Linked DNA regions of Arabidopsis thaliana. The protein of the gene in region 4 interacts with the protein of the main gene of each other region in a pairwise test. Each region holds a gene or a part of one and is shown on either strand. Other genes may lie near its edges. The genes, in order: AGL21, ATO, TCP4 and ATMAK3.

Region 1 (6,173 bases), on a different chromosome or scaffold from region 4:
AGAAGAAAGCCTTCGAAGAGCCATGGCCATCGCCATTTTTCGCTAAACCTCTCTCTATCTCTGGTTTGTGAAACCCTAGAAACAGATTTGAAACATGAACGAGAGAGAAGAGAGAACAAAAATAACAAAATTGGGTTTATCTTGTTTGAGAGAATTGTGGCCTCTGCTTTTGGCTGAGCTTTTGGTGGTTGCAGCAAATTTTCGAATTTTTTCCCTCTTTTTTTATTTATATTTTCTTCTGATTTTTATTTTATATTTGTTGTTTCTTTGTCGTTATCTCTCAGGTCCCTGTCTACACCAACCTTTGTGAATTGTGATGATTTGGTGACGACGATGATTTGTTTCCCTTTAAGACAGAACCTTTATTGGTTTCTGGTCAGTGCAGTCAACGATAACCGATTCAGTTATCACACATCAATTTAATTTATATAGTTTCCAAACCGGTTAGTTTGGGGGAATAAGATTAACAGAATTATGGTGAATTTACAAAATAAAACCAACAAAACAAAAAACTTAACAGAAAATGTTTATTTAACATTTTAGAATTACCAAGTGCATGGTTATATATATTAAACAAATTATTGATCTAAGAATATTGATATTTGAGAGAGTTTTGAGGATAATAATTCATATGATTTTTCTCTATTAATTGACGAATCTATGGTTATAAACAAGTACAATATTAATACTCAAGATGAGTATAACAACACCGGATTTTAATTATATATGCTTTAATTATATTTAGGATTGAAAATATGACTATGTTAGAAGAACCATGCTGCTTATCGTACGTGGCTTGGTGTATAGAGGTTTCCAGTTCAAGAACCTTATTCAAACCAAGGCCTTTGGAGTGTTCTTCAACATCATGGTATCTTCCAACTTCAATCTGTGAAAGTTTTTAACGAGTTACATAAAATATATAAAATGCCTAAATGGTGCATGCATGTTTGTGAAACATCAAGATCAATTAAAAAAGTTTACCTCTCTGTTATTCGTTTGCTCTTGGTGGAGTGTCATAATCGGAATGTTCAGGCTGGCTTAGTTGCAGCCGAATCTGAGTGTGTGATTCATCATCCGCAACAGCTACTTCACGGTGTGTAAACCCGTTTGTGTTTGCCATATAAGCCTGAAAGTCGAAGCCATATCACTTCGAAGCTCTTACTCCAAAGAAAATGGAGTTTTTGTAAAACATGATTTGTTACCTTCTTGTAGAGCTCCACATTTTCTTGATGAATCCGTTGTACTTTCCTAGATAAATCGAGGTTTTCCTGATGAATAAGATTCCTCTGCACCACGATCAACAAAAATCCCAAAATTAGAATTGTAACTTTTGGTAGGGGATATTTGTGTGTGTCAGTGTGTGTATATATATATCTCATCATAGTGACCTTTTGGCTTAGTTCTTGGATTTCTTGAGTCAACAGTTGTTCCTGTGAATCCGGAAAAGCAATCGTTCTATTGATTTCCGTTGTGTTCTATAGTCAATCTTTTGAGTAATACACTCCAAAGCATATAATAGAAGGTAGAGTATATGTATTTATGTACCTTTCTCATACGAATTCCACGCAAACTTATCTCAATTTGATTCTCAAGACTGTTTAGCTCGTTAACACTTAAACCATTTAGCTGTTCTCCCATCATTTGCCTGCTTCATAGCAAACATACCGCAATCCATAACTACAAGTTTCTTCATTTCCTTTACATGCCTTCTATATTTTGATCAAAGACTAATTCTTAATACAAAATGTTATAAAAGTTCAAGGCGATACCGATGATTTTCTTGCAAAGCATGCAGTTCTTGTCTTAGAACAGCAGCTTCTCTCTGCCAAAACTGTAACACACAACACAAATAACTCATCAAACTTTGAACAGCTCAGTAAACCAAAATCTCATTTCAAAAATCAAACATCATGCTAAAGCATCAATCAATATATAATCACATATCTTTAGAGTTGTCGCTATATCTATATGTATACCTTGACTTCTGATGCGGGGTTCAATAGTTGTTGTTGCTCGATCTTGCTCTTGTTGTATCTATCAATAACCGACTTCATGCTATTCAAAATATTTAATATTAGTATACCTTGTTCATGGTATATAATTCACTCATATCATATCATCTCTTAGAGTAAATTACGTAAAAGATATTAATTTTCGATCGTGAAGTTTTTCCAAGTACTCCATTAAAAAGCTTTCATACGTAAAGAAAAAACTCATAGCCTAGAAATTTGTGCAATATAGACTTTCCTGCATTGGCAACATTATTTACACACGCTTATATATGTACACATACATACATTTCACATAATGTATATAATCTTGAACTCAGCAGTAATACGAATTTGTTACACAAACTAGATAAACTATATATAAAGTAAGTAGATGTTAGTTTCTTTTTTCAATAAGTAACAAAAACAAATGCTTAAATGTTATTTCTAGGGTGTAGATAAGCAAGAACTTTAAAGGAATCCAGTTCTAAGCTATAAACAAAATGACATAAATGTAATGCATTAGCATGGCACACTTTATTTTAAATCCAAGCAAACAATAACATGGTGTTAGTTAGTTTTAAGAATGGTATATAAACTTGACTAAATATGCTAAGTAATTTCATTTACCAAGAGGTTCGTAAACCCTATGATACATGAGAAATGTTATCAAAAGACAAACGTGAAGAATTAATAATGCTTAAGGTTGATGCTAATATAAAATTCCTCAAGGAAAATAGGGAAAAACAAAAATTCGCATTACCATACTCTTTTATTTGGTTGTTTTAATTGATAAATATGAAATTATATAAATTTTCAAAATATATAATCAAAATATTATATGATTTAGAATTACATGTTTATATATGTTTTCTAATAATTAGTTTTTTATCTCTATATTTTTTTTATATTAATCAAACTTTTAACAAAGAATAACTTACTCAGAAAATAGACAATTATAACGATTTTGCAGATATAAAGTTAAATATACAGAGTAATCTGATCGTTTAGTAATAATATATATGATTATATATAAATATCAAAAACATGTTTATGTTTACGAGTATAAATAGATCATTTTGTTAGTGGGTTAAACTAAATCAGCTTCCAGTTTATTGGATTTGAGAAATTAAGTCCTCTACATACCAATCTTCTAACTCGTGGTCTCCAATTATAATTCTTTTTTAGCTTTCCAATAGTGATGTTTGGGCATTCACACTTGTTTTCTCATCTATTTCTGAAACATATCTAAATTTGGAAAATGCAAACAATGAGCCTTAGTTAGTTATAAGTCAATGTCCATACACATAAACATATGTTAGGAAAGTACTTCAAAACATACTGATGATGGGTACATATAATCACCCAAATATGAAGCAAAGAAACTACTTCAAATTATTTTTTCAGCTTCAAAAATATTACTCTTCTTTAAAACTTCTACCTCATTTTTAATCTTTCTTTGTTGTAAGAAAACTGTTTGTCGGCTATACAAGACACATCTTATTGTACATACGGGAAAATTAATGTAACATGTTCTACGGACCGCCAGATGCGAAAAAATTCCACTATATTTGAATAGATCCCACAGCTACATATATCTCAGTGAATATCACCAAGCCTTCTAATAAACAAAACCGTAGCATAAAATTATATGCATACAGTGGTACACAACATCTCCGTAGATGTACATCCACAAAATCAAGAAGATATAAAGATTTCAGAATGAATAATTTTAAAAGAAGAACCTGGAGCTTGCAAAGTCATAGAGCTTTCCGGTGCTAGAGAAGATGATGAGACCGACCTCGGCATCACAGAGAATAGCTAGCTCTTTGGCTTTCTTGATAAGGCCCTTTCTTCGTTTGGAGAAAGTGACTTGTCTACTCGTTGAATCATCGATCCTTTGGATCACAATCTTCCCTCTTCCCATCAATTTTATCCTCTAATTGAATCTCCTCTGGTTCTTCTCTTTTTTAGGGTTTTTTTTTTTGTAGATCTTACCAAGCCCAAAAGGGAAGGGAATATGAAGATGAACGAATAAGGAGAAAGAGAAAGGTAGAAATAGAGAGAGAGGAAGGTTGAGCCAAGAGTCAACAATCTATTCGAGGAATAAACTAAGTATATATATGCATATGCACACACACACATACACACTCACCTCTCAGTTTGAGACATTTTTGGGTAGATTTAATACATAGAAAAGTACTAAATTTCTAGTCCAAAATTAGTATTTGTGTGTATGATTTTATCAAACCAATGAAATAGAGAGAAGTTCTTATAAAGTTCCTAGGTTAAGAGAATATATAGATATAGCTTAAATGTGTGTCATATATACAACTTTAATCACTGATTCTTTTTTATAGTTTGTTTATTACGGGAGATAGTGGAAACTTAATGGAATTGTTTAGATAAAAAGGAGTGAAATAATATTAAACTTAGTGTGAGTTAGGTAAATTTCCATTATCAATAATATTTCCTTTTTAACATGTCCGTACATTATTTATAATTTATTCTTAAGTCTTATTTCAAATGTCATGTGAAAATAGTGAATGGGCGCATCACAGGACTGTGTTTCTCTGACAAAACCCTCTTGCTTTATATGCTGCTTTACTTAATTTAATTAGTATCTTTTAGAGGTGATTAAAAGAAAATTAAAAATATTCTGGCCCTTTATTATGGTCATAGGAAAACTTATACTATATTAATTAGATCTGTCCAAAAGATATTTACCCAAAAAAGTAAGAGAATGGATTGAACAAAAACATACAGTATTAATCTAGTACAACATATATTAGTCCATATGGCTTTCGGTAGAAATACAAATGAATAAATTATTTTTGTGTCAATTAATAAATGATTTTAAACGATATCAAGTACACGTGTCAGACAGGGACTTGGAGTTGCGGAGATTCATCATATTAATTGTTTTGTCGTAAGTTTCCAAATATGGCAAGAAATTTAATATCAAATAACTATATAACGTCTGTTACTTTCGATGGCTTAATGCTTGATTTCTACTCAAAGCAACTCGCGTTCAATATCATAATGAAATGAGCTATACAAAATTTTCACTTATATATAGAATATTTTCACTCAGAAGGCCATATATATATAAACCGTAACTTATATTTCAAGCTTATGCATATTGCAAATATACAATCTAAAATGTAATATGCATTTGTGACAGGCACACGTGGGAGAAGCAGGAACAGCTCCTGAGAACACCAATTGATGGAAGTCTTCGCACGCTCCACCGCAGAATCCGTACACCTGATCCTTCATTACTAACTATTTTTGTGTGTTTATTTTAGTTTCTTTGAATGTCTAAACTTTAACTTTGACCAACCCTCAAACTTGCCATAAATCACCACCCCTAGCGCGAATGTATCCATCAATTGAATTTGATTTAAAAGTAGCAAATGTCCTTTAAACCGAACTAAACCAAGCTCAAACCCTAATAACCAAGTTCGATTTTATACCGTTGATGTATAAGATTTAGGTGGGCCCCAGATAGATAACATGATAATTAAAGATCTATTAAGACCACGTGGGCTGGACTGCTTCGAACCAATCACATCTCGAATCTCAAACTCAAATTCAGATTTGGCTCTTTTTCTATTAACAAAGAATCTTAAAGTTGCTTCCAACTTCCAAGTGACCAAATCCCCAATTATCGTCCTCTTAAGATAAAAGATTCAGTCTCATTCACGCCAGGTGTCAATCATCAGCGAATCATTTCGATTTTACCAATTATAATCATTATTATCTTTAGTTCGACGGGTTTATACCACTCTTTCTTTTACGTTTCAAGCCTATTGTCTACGTTTTCCATATTTTTCAAGTCTAAAACATAAACAATCTAGAATTATCACAATCTTTGTTTATTTTGGTTCTTAAAACCCCTTTAACAATATTTGTTTTGTGTAATTGTGTGTGTTTATCTTTGCTGTGTATATATATAAGACCTATTTCTTAAGAAATGTTTTGTAATGACTAAACCAAATATCTAACACATGTATAGAATCTGTAATCCATAAGAGCTAGTTACCAAAGAGTAATAGGTTTCACAGATGACCTATTTCTTTACCAAATTAAATTGCTTACTATAGAGTTTAAATAATACACCCATACTACTGACTATCTGTTGTTCAAGTAGCAGATTTATATTACAGACACCTATTGTTATAA
Region 2 (6,506 bases), on a different chromosome or scaffold from region 4:
CTAGTCATCGAATGAGGCCGTTGGACTGTAAATAAAAAAGGTAAAGCCCATCCCAACTTTTATTTCTTAATTAAAATTTTGGAATATGATTAAGAAAGGAATATTTCATTATTCTTTCCAAAATAGCAAAATGAGATTGTATGTTTAGGTTTTTTGAAAACAAATAAAATTTGAAAGTCTTCGTATATGGACATATATCTGACCAAAATCAAATATCTGTGTATTTTTCAAAAAAAAAAAATATCGTAAATAAATATAATAAAAAAAAATAAAGGTAAACTATGTGATAGCTTACTTTAAAAAATTTGACAGTCGTATGAGGTATTGAGGTTGTATCTGTTTATTTTGATAATTTTTATAAAGTTTGACTCAAATTTTAAGTTTTATCAAAAAAGGAACCAATGATTTGTTAGGAATTGGATAATTAAGGAAATTAAAACATTCCAATTTTGTAAGAATATCAAAGATCAAAAAATTAGTTCAAAATTTGTGAGTACACTATCATCTGAAAACTTTAGTGATTGATTCTTACATGTAGTATCCTATATTAACTCATATCTGTTTCTTGTTATTGAAGTAAAGTCCTCAACTATTCCTTACTAGCATTGTCCATACAAAAACAAATTTTATATCCTCGATTGTGATAGTCAATTCAAAAACATAAACTAAATACTGTTTTAATGAGACGAAACCTCACAAAAAGATGACGAATGGTTTGATTTTACAAAGGCGAAAGGTAGAATATGGTTTAAAGGGATATAGTAAGGAGAGAAGATTTCATCAAGAGGATGTGATCAATCAGATGAGACCTTGGCGTTGAAGATCAGAGTAAGTCTTCTTGTTGTAAATGTTACCTTCACGATCTTCATATTCTTCTTCAAGTTCTGGCCTCCATTTGTTCACTCCTTGCCTCTCCTGTATCCTCTTCCACAATTCTTTGGCTTCCTGAAACAAACCAAACAACAACAAGATCAAATTACCAAACTATTTACTACTTTAAGCTGTACAAAGTCTTTGATCATATTATATTATTACCTCAATCGAAGTGATTTCGTTGAAGTTCTTTGTGTTTGGGATTCCTAGGCAACGCATTCCGTGTTGGTGTCGCCATTCTTTAAAATGTCTCTCAAAAGCCCTTCTTCCCCAATAGCTATAGTTCCCACATATCTCGCATTTAAACTCCTGCGTAATAACAAGAAATTTAATGTGAATCTATGTTCCTTTGATACAACAATGGTCTCATAAATAAACTACATACCTGGCCAAGGCCATGAAGTTTGTAGAGCCAGTATGGTATAGGCTTCCCATCCCAACCTATTGGTAGCTTCAGCGGATTGTAAATCAAACCGTCCTCGTCATCACTTTCTAATTCGGTATTAGCTTCCTCCCCTTCACGTTCTCCCTCCATTTCTTCATATGTCAACGACTGTTTCTTTACAATGTTTTGTTTTGTCCTTTCGATGGTCTATAAAAGGTGACAACAAGAAAAGTTAACAGAAAAAGTACAACTAGATATCTGGGAGGGGGAAAAAAATGTCACTATGAGCTTTCAATCAACTAACCTCATCAAGTAAATTGCAGAGTTTCTTCACTTTGGCCTCTGTTAGTGCAATCTCTTTAGCATTTTCAGACTCATGTGTTGATTTGGCATCTCCGTTTTGTTTTCCGTTGTGTGGAGGTCTGGCAAAATGTTTCTTATCCAGCTTTTCCAAAGGCGTATGCTGTACAAAAATTGAATTAATTAAGGGAATTAGATAACCTCAAGGTAATAAGAAAAGCTTCAAATAGAATTCAATCCCTACAAAACATGAACTATGACAACAAAAGCCTTAGTTTCATATTAGAAGAAGAGCTGAGCTGAACTACCAAACTAGGTTTCATAACAGCTAAATGTTCCTTCCAAACCCAGTAAGAACAACAAGAACGCGGCTACTAATTGATAAAAGTACCCTCTCATAAGACGAAACTTAAAGAAATAGGAGATTATATAGCAAGTGTAAAAACCTTTGTCAGGAAAAGTCTCTCGGCACGCTGCTGCGGAGTACCACCAACCTTCAGTCCTAATGCCCCCAATGCCTGAATGGCATACAAAGAACATATGATTAGGGGAATATGCTTCAAAAAGGATATTAACATGAAGTAGTATGGTCATTACCTCTTTTAGCTTTTCAGGTCCTACATCTACCAGTTCCTCGACTGTACTGTAGTAATCAAGATCTATGACAGTATGCTGAGATGGAATAAGTTCATTATCCAGGCCTTCTACTATTCCATCTGCATATTGCTCTTCAAAATCAGAACAAACCTGTAAAAGAACCAAACATATTAATCGCAACAGATCAAACAATAGGCACAGCATTGGCCAAACTAGAACTACCAGAATGTCAAACTATAACATGGTTCAAAACCTTCCGAGGATATACAATCTCTGCACTTAGAGCAAACTATGCACCAATGAATATTGAATACAACCATCTAGTTATGGCCATTTATTTTCCAAAATTATGTATTATCTCCAGGGGGATGAAAGACTCACAAAGCAACCAGTTGTTAGAACTAAGGAAATCAAATCCAAAGTTCTACACTTAATACTTGGGAAACTAGTAGAAACTTCTTAAGCACGAATAAATATACCAGTTATGTACTAATGCATAGTTCGAAACGCCCATAAAATTTCATAAGGCAACAAGGTAAACGCAATAAAATGATAAAGAAAGGGAGGAGCTTAAACCTTAGAAAGTATCCGGTCAAGATCTTGCAACGGCTCGGTTCGCTGGAAGAAGTAGACCAGGTACTCAAGTAGAGCTTCCATATACTTCATGTATTGCCTAAAATGAAAAATAGCAATACAAAAAGGAAAGCCATTCAGCTGCAGCTAGAAAAATAATTGGAGGCTTTCTAAGTAAAAGAAAATTCCAATGAAGTGTTTACCTCGATAACTTCAGTTTACGCGGTATTTTCTCTGGTTGAGAAAAAACATCAAGGTAAGCAGAATATTCAACCCTTTCCCCAAATTTAGAGTTGATGTACTGGTTATACATATCATGCAAGTCCAAGTACCGACCATTGCCTTCCTGCGTAACAGACAAGAAGATTTAAGTATTGACAATAAAAAAGGGGCTTACAAACTGTTAAAAAATGCGTCAACAAATAGCAACAATAAAAAGTCAAGCAGAAACCTACCTCTCCACTGAACGCAATAATTGGTTCCTCCTTCAGGCGTGCTTCGTAGTCTTCATTAGCATCAACAAGACGTCCAGAAGGATGCCTTTTATGATATTCACGTATCTGTAAGTTTATAAAAGAAGTTAAATAGTTGCAGCTCTGATGCTTTCATCAGTGGTACAAGAAAATCAAATAATTCAGACAATAAAAAAAAAACGAATTAGCAATTTGAATCTTATTCAGGGTGTCCTCATGAAAATTTCACCGCCTTAATACTCTTATGCAAAGCAAGCCTTATACAGCTAACCAAATTGTTGATGGAACAGAACTAATACACTTTCACTGAGATTTTGTACATAATTCTTGATTCTCCATCACAGTGGTTCAAGGCAATCAATAAAACTATTTTTTTTTAAAAGATCAACAGCTAAATAACAATGTCTAGATTAACTAATAGTCCGGTAAAGTTAGCTGCTCAATCTCTAATATACAACCCACAGAAACTAAAGTAAAGCCAAGTCTTGGTATAGAGAACCATAGGCAAGTTTTAGGGAAAAAAGACCAAGGAAGGTGCAAAGGATAAAGAACAAACCTCTTTCAAACGATCGTAAAATTCACTAAACACATTTGTCCCTGTCGCAGTCTGGCCACCAAGCGCTGCAATCTCATCATCCCACGCCCCATCCTTATCTTCATAGGTTTCAACCTTACAACAAACAAGAATCAAGGTTAGCATTAATCCAAGTTTGAGTTAATTATCAACAACAAAAATTAACTCAAATTTGTGAAATAACACTGAAGCATGCTTAGCTCAAAACTTAGAATCCCTACATACACACTTAAGACCCCAACTATAACCTATATTCAACACCAATCTCTGAAGTTTCTTCTCAATTTAACACCCAAGCCAGAGTGATTCAAAGCTAACTTAAACCCCACAATGATAACCTAAAAAGCTAAAGCAATTAACAGAAAAAGAGGCAACACTCAACACGAACCTGTTATTTAAAAAAAAATCAGCAACCCAAGTTTCTCTGCTCTGATCTAACGTATTCAAAAGAGAAGAGACATAAAAACATATGCGGGAAATAGAAAAGAAGATTAAAAATTGACGAGAAGAAGAGAGAAAGCGTACAAGTTTCTCAGTGGTGAGCATAATAGACTCAATCATGTGACGAACACGATGTCCCTGGACCAATCTGTCCTTGCTGGACGGTGGCTCCTTCTGTAGATCTTCCACAACCAATCGCTCCAACCTTTCAACCTCTTCGTGATTGGAGCGAGTTTGCTCGAGGAGAGTCGACGACATTTTCTCTGTCTTCGAAGCTTTGAAATCTCCTTCTTCGCCGGAGTCTAAACCCTAAATTCCAGTCACTTTTCTTTTCCTCAATCCGAAATCTCGCCAGTAAAATTTTTAACGCCAATCCGAGAGAAAAAGATAATCGGGTGGTTTTTGTTGTGGTTTGGGTCGTTTAAGCCGAACTATGTTTTGGGCCTTTTTAGACGGTTTGTGTTTTAGGCCTTTTTTTGACTGTTAGTGTTTTGGGCCTTTTTAGACTCTTTTTTTTCTTTTATATTTTATTATTATTTTACTTATTATAAAAAAATCTATAATATGGTAAAATACCATTTGGTAATTATTTTCTTTTAAGATCTATTCCATTTGGTAATTTATATATTTTTTATCTGATTGCAATCCTCTTTTAATGGGAATACTCAAACATTATGTGTTTGTTTGATATTGTACTATACTTCAATGGGTTCATTTGCAAAGATGTTAACGGAGAGAAGGTTGTACAGAAAAAAAATGGGCAGTTTACAACCATCCACTATGAATGGCTTTGATATTGGTAGCAAACTAACACAAAATCAAGTCATCATTGTCAAAGTTAAAGAGTTAACAAGCCATTTATTCACTCTTTTCAAATTGAATTCATGATATCTCACATGATATAAGATTTGCAAGCTATCTCCTAATAGTATTGAGGTTTGTTGAGATGACATCTTTAATAGATCAATGGAAAGAGCTATATTTGGTTGTTTTCCTCAGGAAAGAGCTATATAGGATGATCATATATTCATATTGAACCAACGATGGGCATTTTGGGGTAAGTATTGCCACCTGACAACAAAATAATAGCCAATCCCATAGACTAATCTTATGACTTCTGATATTGATTTATGTTTGTAAAACCAAAGGAAGATCTCCGAGTGGACATACAAAATTGAAATGTCGTTAACAATTCATATTTGGTATTATTTTTTTTATCTATAAACAATTTTCCATTATTAGTCACTTCCATGTCCAAGCTCAAGAATTCTGTTTCAGGTGTTGTCTTTGAAAGATAGTCCATGCCAACATCGTTTACATATCAGTATATCACTTACTTTACGGCAAACTAAGGCAAACCATATTTCGATTAGTTCATGAGTCGCTAATTGTAACTTAAGGATATCAAGGTTGGAAGTAATTCACTTTGAAACATCACCATTTCGTATGAGTTGATCTTCTTAATAAAAAGATAATAAATACAGAGAAGCAAATGAGAGTTCATCGTAAACACAGCAAACCAAATCAAGAAAACAAAGCAAATATGGTTATTCATTTCAAATGGTGGAATCAGAATATCAATAAGCAAAAACTGGTACATGGTTTGATTCACGTTTGAGTTATATGTTCCTCATTTTCCACTATTCCATCAAACCAAAACAAACAATAAAAACTCAAACAAAACTTTTGAAAAGCGGCGAAGTCAGAGATGTTAAATATGCCTCAAACAGTTTTAAGCTCATAATGAGGAAATTACCCCTCATTCGCACATCTAATTGGTTCATCATTCTCGCCGTTTCATTGCAAAACCAATAAAAACAATGTATCCTACCCGATTATATAGAACGAGATACTAAATGAACGAAATTAAAATCTGAAAATCCTCAAACGCAAAGATCTCTAGCAGATAAAAGAGATAAACACTTATATCTGAAGAGTCAGCGAGAGAGGACCTTAATTCCAGATCTAATGCCGATATAAAAAAACTCGACCTATAATAAATCAGGAAGGTAAAAACTGGGTTAGTTCTTAGGAGAACCCTAATCAAAAACCCTTAATAAATTTCGATTTAGCGCAGCAATGACTCGACACGCTTCCATTAAGCATTTGTGGAAGGCGATCTTAAGGGCTGCGCAACGATTTAAAAAAAAAACGATAAATACGAATAACACGATTTAGAACATAAGCCCTAATATCTAAGAATTGGGGGTTATAATCGAAGATGCATTGTATATATAGTGAAGACTTGTTTTACCCTAGTCGAAGAAGCTTATCCTCGTTTATTGACTAT
Region 3 (4,906 bases), on a different chromosome or scaffold from region 4:
ACCTTTAAATTGAAGATTCTTCTTTTCTATCTTTTGATGTAAACGTACTTTATGATATCTCAACTCATCCATCTGGTGTGTTTTGATTACATCACATGAAAAGGTGTTGCTGCTTTTCTATTAAAAGGTAAAGTTAAATATTCTTATAATACACATGCATTTAGACCCCAAGTGTTTTTGACTAAACTTTGCAAAAATCCAATATTATTATCAAAAGATGATGATGATAGAGAAGATAGACTAGTTTTGATCAACTTCCTTCATTTAGACCAACATGGGTGGCTCTCTTTACCTATCTCATGTCCCCATTCTTTTACTCATCAAAGACAACATCACATTCAAGTTTGGTGGATCTCCTCCTACCACTAAAGTAGGTGAGAGAGAACAATTATTGACATCAGACATAGAAAACAATAATCATATTTTTACTCTTAGTGAGCTAAGTTTCACTTGTAATTTAAGGGAACTGGCTAAATCCCCCTGATGTTCCAGAAGAAGAAACAATTCAAAACTTACTGTTCATGGAAAATGACCAACTTATATCTCTTGGGACCAAAAGATTACGTGAGAAATAGGAATCTCATGTTGTTTAAATAACAAGGATCTAGCCTGAACAGAGCAGTAAAAGTAAAACCCAAAGAGAAAGTTTCAGACTTTATTAGAACATCCACGGAGTTACACAATAAGAACAGGGAGCAGTAACAATAGGATGATGATGATACAAAGTTACAAACATAACACAACAAGACGAAACCTTGGAATCTAACCATAATTGAGCTACAGAAGAACGTTGGTCTAACTGGTGAAAATATGAAAAATTACAATCGGCAAGGTTAAGATATTGGAAGAAGAAGAAGAAGAACCTGAAACTGTTGTTCTTTCTTCATTTCCTTGCGTTTTCTAGATTCAGGCCATTGACTACACAAACCGAGAACACCTTCCCTGTTCCGGACAATCTAAGTCAAGCTTCAATGTGCATGGAAGCTAGACAAGCCCTGCAAAATGGTTTAAAGTTCAATGACCAAAGAAGTACAAAAGTAGTGAATTTGATGTAAAAGGACAGAACTTGAGATAAACCTGAAACTTAGAGGATTAGTTTCGATTGTCAATGGCGAGAAATAGAGGAAGCAGAGGACGGCTTGTGAGTGAGACCGTCGTGCTGCTCCTCTTCTTGGCCCTGAAACCGTGCTGGTATGCGAAAACCCGAAGAGAATTCACCTGAGGCGAATCCGATTCCGGGGATTGCTGATTGGTGAACCGGTGGAGGAAGGTGATGGTGGTGGTTGAGATCGTCGGTGGAGATGGATTGGTGATGATGGTGAGGATCAAACCAAGCACGGATCATGGGACTGTAACTGGACTGAAGGGGACCCCTCTGAGAATAAAGCTGTTGGCTTTGGCCAAGAACTGGCTGAAACGACGTCGTTGAAGGAGTAGGAGGAGCGAACAGAAACCCTCCTCCGTTTCCTGTATCGGTTGCTCCGCCGCCACCGCCGCTGTTCCAAGCCACTAGTCTCTGAATCCTTCCGAATTCCGACGACTGCTGCTCCCAACTCGATGTGTCAAACCCTAACGGATTGCTCTGTCCGTAGAACAGAGTAGGCTCGGAGGCGGAAGCAGAGGTGTGGTGGTGATGTTGGTGGTGCAGAAGCGACGGTGGACCATCCGGGAACGATTGCAGCGAGAGACGGAGATCTTGGTTTTGGCTATTAGTTCGAGAAAGCAAATCCGGCGGATGCTGATGATGATAGTTGTGCATAAGGTTATGATTCGAAGGAGCCTCCGTTGAAGAGCCAATCACCGGAAAAAACGACTTTATAGTGTCAGCTATCGAATCTGAATCCATTGACGGCGGGAGAAAACTCGACTCGTTGTTACTCGGATGCTCTGCTCCTCCTCCGTTGAAGCCAACACCGAACTGAAGCTGTTGTTGTTGTTGTTGCTGTTGCGGCGGTGGCGGAGACGGAGAGATTTGGGTTTTGGCGGTGGTTCTTCTGGGTTTAGCGTTAGCAGCGGCTAGGCGAATTGCATCGGCGGGATTCCAGGGAGGAAGCTCAGCGAGCTCGTCAATGGAAGTCTTAGCCTTTTTGATAAGCCAATCAACGGCTTTGCTAGGTCGGTCGAAACCAAGCCTGTCTTGAACATCGTAAAACTGAATCGCCGTGTGAGCAGAGAGTCTCACGCGCCGGTCACGTGGCCCTTTAGCCGTGCAGACTTTGCTGTGGCGGTCTTTTCTTCCGGTAGACCGAACAATGTGACCACCTTGCACCTCAACAATCTCGCCGCAGCCGCCGTCCGCCGCATCCGACGTAGAACGGTGCCTCATTGAAGAAGGAGGCGGCGGGTGATGGAATTGGTCGTCAGACATTGGTAGAGCATATTCGTCGAGACGGCGGCGGCGGCGGCGACGGTGGTCGTCGTTAGAGGGTGAGGAATCCAGAGTAACTCAAAAAGGATGAAACTCCCGCATACTTGCTCTCCTCACCTCAAAACCCTAACCCTAAAAACAATCCTAAGAAGAAGAGGTTTAGTGAAAATTGTGGACTAACCCATATTTGAGAGAATCTCTCTCTTTTTTTCTATAGCTTAAAGTCTCTCTCTATTGTTTGGTCTGTGTAGTAAATAGAAAACGCAAGAAGGAGACCAAAGAGATGAAGCAAGCAAAGCAAGCGAAGGTGAGAGAGAGAAGAGAGAAAGGGAGATGTGTAATTGACCAATCAAGAAAAACCCAGAGAAAGCTTTTCTTTTTATTTTTCTCTCTCGGGAAAATGGTTAAAGAGAAAAAGTAAAATAAGCAGAAGGAAGAGGGAAGAGGAAGAGAGTGTTGTGGGTTTGATGATGACGCAACTGGGTAAGATGACAGTAAGTGTTTTTTTCCTCTCATCTCCACATTCAATACTTTTATTTTTTCTTTCTTTCTTTTTTGGGTAACCAAAGCTTCCTCGTTTCCCAAATTTATTCATTTTTTTCCATTCTTTGTTTAAAAAAAAAATCTGATTGTTATAAGGTTTTAACAGTAAGTATTCATTTTGTTCATGTTAATTTTTAAAATCAATGTTTAACTTAATGTGTAGATGCAAATACAACCAAATAATAATCAACACAATCATAAACTAAATTGTAGGATGCCAAAATATTAGAAAAAAAATAATAATAATAATAATGATGGTTTTTAGAGTTAGATGTTTCCAAAACCAAATTTGTTTACCAAAATAATAGTATAGGATTTGTTATGTGCATGCAAATCATTATGTTATTTTCTAAGAGAATACATTAAACAGACTACTTTAATTTAGTGTGATATAAAAATACTAAGATGTGTTAAAACATCTACTTTTGGTCAGAGTTACTAACTTCCTTGATATGAAAATGGGCACTCTTTTCGTGGACATGTCCACATACATACATAATCATGGGGATTATATACTTAAAAAGTTGAAATCACTGGAATGAACTAGCTACTTTATTTTTCGAGTTTCCGAATTCAATAAATGAATAAATACCCTAAAAACCTATGGTGTTAGATGGGTCAAGGTTCAATTCAACCTTTTGTGCTTCTCGGTTTCTTTTAAGGGTTGACCCATGCTAGTTCAATGCAAATACATAAAGCTTGTTGATGCTCCACTTCTTTTTACCTTTTTGTTGTAAGAATCTCAATAGTTAACTAAAGTAGATTTTATTCGAAAAATCGAACTCGTTAAAAGAAGAATATAATATTAGTTAGCAATACAATTAGGGCTCTTTATAATCTAAGATTTTCTTTTTTCATCTCTCATCTTCGTTTTTGATGTTTTTGTTTTTTGCAATCCTGTTTTAGATTCTATAAACTAGTAACAAACACAATAAGACTCTCGTTATTCTTTGTTCTAAAATCCAATACTTCTTTTCTAGCTATTTTGACTTGTGGAACTAATTGATTTCACCGTATCGTGTTCGTGTGCATATCACCCAAATTCATATATGAAAGGTATTTTGAAATTGAAGAATACGACGTATAAATAAACTAATAAAGGTGAGTAAAAGACAATCTAAGCTTCAACGGAGACATTTCTAAGATCTTGAGAATTTTACGAGTTCAAAAATAATTGGTGGGACTCTATAATAATAGTATAATGCTTCTTGAATCCCAACCAATTTGACTATAACTCTCACAACTAATTCATGTATGGAATATATTGTGGTTATAATACTTGTACCACAAAATATCTCCAGATTGGTGAAAAACGAATAAATACAACAAACCTATTATATTGTTCACACAATTTTGTAGCATATTAAATTTGAACACACGTACGGTAAGCTAACGTAATTTTCAAGTAGTTGAATATGTTTTTTCTTCAAAGCAATAATAAAAACTTGACGCAAAGGATCATAACTATATAATTTTTTAGTTGGAAAAATATATATAGTATACAGCATTATTTGATAGTTTAAAACTATTCATATAAATAATTACTATTAGACCACCTACTTTAATGTAATAATAAATCAGAAAGTGACATATTAGCATGATAGAAAAGGGTCAATTAACAAACCTAATACGAACACAATAAAATAATTAATCAAACAAAACAAAATATAATATTTAAACATGAAATAGGTTGTTTAGTAGAGAAAAGGAGAATATATGTCATCCCACGGTTGCATATTAATTAAATGTAAATCAAAAGTAGCTTCCACTTGGAATTACGGTCACGATTTGCAACACAACAAAATAGAATGATTACGAGAGATTTAAATTCTTAATTATGGGGAAATTTGTATGAAATGCAATAATTAAGCACAATAATGTCATTGATTATTAACGTCAGTTTTAGTTTTTGACATCAATATTAATTAAATGTATATATATACGCCTCATCAAAATGATATTGTGATCATCAAAGTAGTTGACAATATGGCCAAG
Region 4 (4,791 bases):
GTTTGGTTAGTGACCCTTGGTAACGAGTGGGTTCAAATTGTCAATAAACTATTATGTGGCGAGTGGTGAATCGTCTTTAATTTGTTCTGATTTAGGCCATGTGAGTTTTGCAACTACATTTGAGGCTTTTCTTCTTCTTTATATTAGACTTTTTTTTTTTTGTAAAGTGGACTATCTGGATACAAAAAAAATCTCGGCTAACATGGATAAATCTAAGATGGTTGTGTTTGTGAAAAGAAAATTGTTTTATAGTAAAATACGGTATGCAATAAAAGTATTTCATAAAATATCTCATACCAATTATTCAAGCATGTCTTTTCATAACATTTGACTGGCATCTTTCTCTCCTTTGGCCTTAAATCAATTTTTTGTCATCTTGGATTTCTTTTGAGGTATATAGAGCTGTTTGAAAATTTTGATGGCTGAAAATCACTTCACATCTCGATTTCTATATCATCCACTTAACTCGAAGTCAGGAGTAGCCTGAGACGATTAGGTTAAGTTAAGTGGTTATATGAATTTGTAACAACATTTAGATCTTTGTTTCCAATCATCAACCAAGTTTGAGAGACCTTAAAAACGTATATACGCACACCACAAAGTGATATGAATATGCTAAATTGTTTCTGTAGACACACAAGACCGTTGAAACGTCCAGATTAATCGCTTACTCCAGTCGAGAATACTTCATAAACATGGGACTAGAATTGTACCAACACATAATATTTCTTCATACGAAAGAGAACATAGTCTTAGCATGTTCAGGATTTAGAATACATTGAAGAAACACACATCTTCGTTCATGGCCTTAAGGTACACGAGGCCTAGGAAAGGTCTCATACTCTTGTTGGGTTTGAACTTGAGAAGGTATTTGAGGTACACGAGGCTTAGGGAACAAGAGCTTCAGGCGAAAAGCATCCATCCCATTCAAGTAATAGTGGTATAGCCGTTTGGCTCTTATAAACCCGAGTCGCCCATATAGTGCTAATGCTCCTTTGTTACTCACTTCTGCCTCCAGAGTTACCTTCAGCCATACATCTTTACATTAATTAGATTGCATAACCAGACAACCATACTCTCATGTTGTAATCAGGCTTGATTATGAGGAACTTGAAGAGCAAATGCCAATCACGAGGTTCTTTTTCCAATCTATTTACTACTGAGATTACAGTTAAGAGATCACACATACAACAGAAAATGATTCGTCGAATACGCAATTAGTAAGTGGGAGACAGGGATTTCTTATTTTATATTACTATCAGTTACATTCCAATGCGTGTGACTATAAAGAGTCATGGACTACATACAAGACTTATACAACATATGTATACTAAGTGAGAGACTGGGATTTTGATTTCCACTACAAAATTAGTAACTAAACGAATATCGAAAAGTTCCAACTCTTAGGAGTATGATTAACTACTTTTATACGTGGAACTAAACTTACACACACAGTTAGCTAAACAATCAAAAGCAATAGGTATACTTGCAATGATTAAAGGCAGCTACATCACCTCAGCTATGAAATTCTATTCTAGTAGATAAAAAGGAGGCACTATTTCAGGACATGTAATGGACTTATAACCTTCCGGAAAAGGTGGTTCATAAGGTCTTATCTACATTTATACTACCAGGAAAGGATATCACTCTAGTGCTACCAAATATCTAAGTTCTCCAAAGTGGGAATAAAGAGAGAAGTGAGAATGCAAGAACAGCATACCTCTTCACAGCCTGATTCCATCATCGCTTTTATCGCTCTTGTGACAAGCTCTGAGGCTGTAAAAAAACAATGACAAGTCAGCACACAAAATTATCGAACCTTAAGAGAGGCATGTATTTGCAGTAGATCAAACACTACTCCCACAGTCAAAATCTGATTCTGTAAGAAGTTAGGAAGCACTAGCTCAAGTATTACCTATGCCTCGGCCACGATATGGTTTAATCACAACCAACATAGCGATGTACCCTCTGAAAGTCTGTCGATGATCCCCCATCTTACAGACTATGGTTCCTACGCATTTACCTTTGTGAAAGGCCTATTAAAAGAAACAAAACAAATGCTACTCATAAATCCATCAAAACATAAGTATCATGAGGGTAAAGCAACGATAATCGAAAGCTGAGTGTCAAAATACCAGGAAGCATAGCTGCGGCCAGAGGTAGACGAAGTACCGGTAAGTAAAGATGGAGTAAGGTTCACTAAGTTCTTGGTCAACAAGAGACATAATCAATGGCAGATGATGCTCACCAGCATAACTCGTGTACTCAATCTCACCCTCATCGAATTCTTCTTTATCTTCCATCTCTTTCTCCATTGCAAGAAGTGATCAAGATCCCGAATTGTATACTTACAAAGAGAAATATGAACTTCTGATCAGTTGTTTATACATTGATGATCTTGTTCCTATAGGAAGTGATGAAACACATAATGCAAAGTTAGAGAATATAAATCATTTTCTGTGAATCGAAGTTGAGTGATTGTTTCAGAATTGAAAGTTCAATGTTTTCATAACAAACTCAGATTGCTCAAAGCCTCAAATAAACAGCTGAAGCAGAATCTATAACACTCTACTAAAGCAAACGACTTTGGCTAAAGCGAGCTATAGAAGATTTGAGAGTTCAGAAAAAAGAGAGCTTACCGATGTTATGTGACAATAGGATTAGTAAAGAATCCTGTGAAGCATAAGAATGAAAAAAACACACACAGATTTTAAATACCAAGTAATGAGAGATTTAGAAAGAGATGTGATTATAAAAATTGAAACTTTTTAGAAACCCAAGATCAATGAGATGATAAGAATACTTACCAAAAGTTTGAGCTTTGTGAAATTCGAAGATCAAAAGTTACGATCTGGGTGATATCTGAAGAAAAAAGCTCCGAAGAGAAGACGAAGAAGAACAAGAACAAGAACAAGAACAAGAACAAGGTCGATTACACACGTGACAAGCATGTGTAGGGTTTAGATATATTTGGGCTTTAAAATAAGCCCAATTGAAATTAAAGCCCAAATATGAAAAGATAATTAAAAGCCTATCCTAAAATCGTTTTTCTACTCTCACTGCCTTATCTTCTTCTGGATCTTCTTCTTCGAACAAATTCGAAAACAGCACACGGCGATGGCGTCGCTTATACTCGGAGCTCCTCCGCGAGTCACCGTCGCATTACCTTCCTCACGGTTATCATCTTCTCACTCTGAAACTGCCGGTGTCTCTCTCTCTTGCTTCACTCATCAATTCTCTCTCTCCACTTCCTCATCCAGCTCAATTCCACTCGGTAATCTCCCTCTCTTATCTAACTCTCTCTTAATTCGTCAATGGCGTAACTTTTCCGGTGTTCGCAGTGTACTGTGGCAGAGGTGACCGGAAAACAGCTAAAGGAAAGCGTTTCAATCACTCTTTTGGGAATGTAAGTAATCAAATTTCTCTTTCCGATTTCGTAATTTTACTTTGCAAATTCGCAATTTTGGTTTTGAATTTGGGGTTTATGTAAGCAGGCGAGGCCAAGAAACAAGAGCAAAGGAAGAGGACCGGAGAGAGTACCGGTTCCTCCAGCACCACCGAGGAAAGATAAGTTTGAGAACGACGAGAAGATCAAAATCGATATCGACGAGTCTCTCTTCTCTAATTAGAAATATGAGATTCTTCACTTGTTGTCTCTCACTGTAATTTTAATTTGTTTTTTGAAAAGCTTTGATGCTACGACTCTTTTGTTGTTAAAAACATCTCCAAAGTTCTCATCTTTTTATGAAAAGTTTGCTTCTTTATGAATCATTGAGTCTTTTACATTGAAAAAGTAAAGCAAACTAAGAACGAGAATCTATATACTTAGATAGATCAGATGGATGAATCATCTGTCTCTGTTTGGATCTTTAAATGTGAGAGTTTGTGATGTTTCCGCAGACTGTGCAGTGAGTGGAGACGAGAGTGTGCATTACACTTCCTTCTTCAATCTTAATCTTCCTTGTGACTTTGTTCCACAGATGTATCATGTAACTCCCTTTGTTCATGTCCTGTACTGTCTTCTCTACCCATTTTGCTTCTCTTGTGGTTGCAGGTTTCTTGAAAAGCTTTTGGATTTTGATCCAGTTTACTGGATAGAAAGCATCGGGAGAAAAGATTGTGAGATTGTTGTATCCAGGTTTGTTTCCTAATCTCTTGATAACTCTAGAGACTAGGTAAGGGCTGTTGTATCCCCATTTGTTTCCGTCGAAAGTTGTGGCATACTCTTGCAAGAATTCTCGCATTAGCGGATGGTAGATGTCAAAGACCATCACTGCGTTGTTTAGTCTCGTCCATCTCTTGGTTGCTGGATCACTACTCTGTGCTCCAATAGCGTTTCTTAGTCCTGTCATGTCGTTGAGGAAGATGATGTCTGTGTCTAGATAGACTCCTCCGTATTTGTAGAGTACTGCGAGTCTTGTTAGATCAGAGAGATTCATGAACAAGGGGATAGAACCGGGATCCATGTTGCCACTCTTTAGCCTTTTCAGCCAAGCTTCAGCAGGAGTGTTCTTGACGAGAAACGGGATATCTATAGTTACAGCAATGAGGTTGAAACCTTGATCAAACAATGGTTTAAGGATAGTGTATCCGTTTGGGGAGTCTAAGGAGTTGGACAAAATCGCCAAGCAAGCACCAGGATTGGTGGTGAAGAGAGTATCAATAGCTAACATCTCTCTTGGTCCAAAAGAATTTGCAGGAGAAAGCCAAATCATAAAGAACTGAGCAGAGCAATTCTTGTTGTACAAGTCCAAAACTCTTGTATGGAAACTCTTGCTCTTGGTAGTCGAT

The links.
Region 1: the proteins of ATMAK3 (region 4) and AGL21 interact in binary tests that used the Arabidopsis thaliana proteins (3 or more experiments, as listed by UniProt).
Region 2: the proteins of ATMAK3 (region 4) and ATO interact in binary tests that used the Arabidopsis thaliana proteins (3 or more experiments, as listed by UniProt).
Region 3: the proteins of ATMAK3 (region 4) and TCP4 interact in binary tests that used the Arabidopsis thaliana proteins (3 or more experiments, as listed by UniProt).

The regions. Positions count from the first base shown.
Region 1 is NC_003075.7:17,834,707-17,840,879, forward strand, and holds AGL21 (AGAMOUS-like 21), read right to left. Parts: upstream 4,264-6,173; 5' UTR 3,916-4,263; coding exon 3,734-3,915; intron 2,879-3,733; exon of another isoform or gene 2,056-2,878; coding exon 1,977-2,055; intron 1,832-1,976; coding exon 1,770-1,831; intron 1,646-1,769; coding exon 1,546-1,645; intron 1,456-1,545; coding exon of another isoform or gene 1,431-1,455; coding exon 1,389-1,430; intron 1,287-1,388; coding exon 1,203-1,286; intron 1,127-1,202; coding exon 989-1,126; 3' UTR 982-988; intron 887-981; 3' UTR 511-886; downstream 1-510. Other genes in the region: SHM1 (serine transhydroxymethyltransferase 1), read right to left, coding at 1-36. UniProt on the Arabidopsis thaliana protein: Probable transcription factor.
Region 2 is NC_003076.8:1,861,825-1,868,330, forward strand, and holds ATO (splicing factor-like protein), read right to left. Parts: upstream 4,610-6,506; 5' UTR 4,475-4,609; coding exon 4,301-4,474; intron 3,872-4,300; coding exon 3,758-3,871; intron 3,289-3,757; coding exon 3,184-3,288; intron 3,075-3,183; coding exon 2,932-3,074; intron 2,829-2,931; coding exon 2,732-2,828; intron 2,306-2,731; coding exon 2,156-2,305; intron 2,077-2,155; coding exon 2,005-2,076; intron 1,722-2,004; coding exon 1,563-1,721; intron 1,466-1,562; coding exon 1,259-1,465; intron 1,183-1,258; coding exon 1,036-1,182; intron 946-1,035; coding exon 799-945; 3' UTR 501-798; downstream 1-500. UniProt on the Arabidopsis thaliana protein: Splicing factor homolog to SF3a60 that may be involved in pre-spliceosome formation. Is necessary for gametic cell fate determination.
Region 3 is NC_003074.8:5,059,770-5,064,675, reverse strand, and holds TCP4 (TCP family transcription factor 4), read right to left. Parts: upstream 2,996-4,906; 5' UTR 2,369-2,995; coding exon 1,106-2,368; 3' UTR 1,078-1,105; intron 996-1,077; 3' UTR 524-995; downstream 1-523. UniProt on the Arabidopsis thaliana protein: Transcription factor playing a pivotal role in the control of morphogenesis of shoot organs by negatively regulating the expression of boundary-specific genes such as CUC genes, probably through the induction of miRNA (e.g. miR164).
Region 4 is NC_003071.7:15,977,831-15,982,621, forward strand, and holds ATMAK3 (Acyl-CoA N-acyltransferases (NAT) superfamily protein), read right to left. Parts: upstream 2,934-4,791; 5' UTR 2,808-2,933; intron 2,674-2,807; 5' UTR 2,640-2,673; intron 2,405-2,639; exon of another isoform or gene 2,348-2,404; 5' UTR 2,316-2,347; coding exon 2,136-2,315; intron 2,037-2,135; coding exon 1,916-2,036; intron 1,777-1,915; coding exon 1,721-1,776; intron 1,025-1,720; coding exon 809-1,024; 3' UTR 547-808; downstream 1-546. Other genes in the region: PSRP4 (plastid-specific ribosomal protein 4), read left to right, coding at 3,118-3,274, 3,342-3,406, 3,495-3,629; AT2G38150 (alpha 1,4-glycosyltransferase family protein), read right to left, coding at 3,870-4,791. UniProt on the Arabidopsis thaliana protein: Probably required for N-acetylation of some chloroplast precursor proteins and efficient accumulation of thylakoid multiprotein complexes.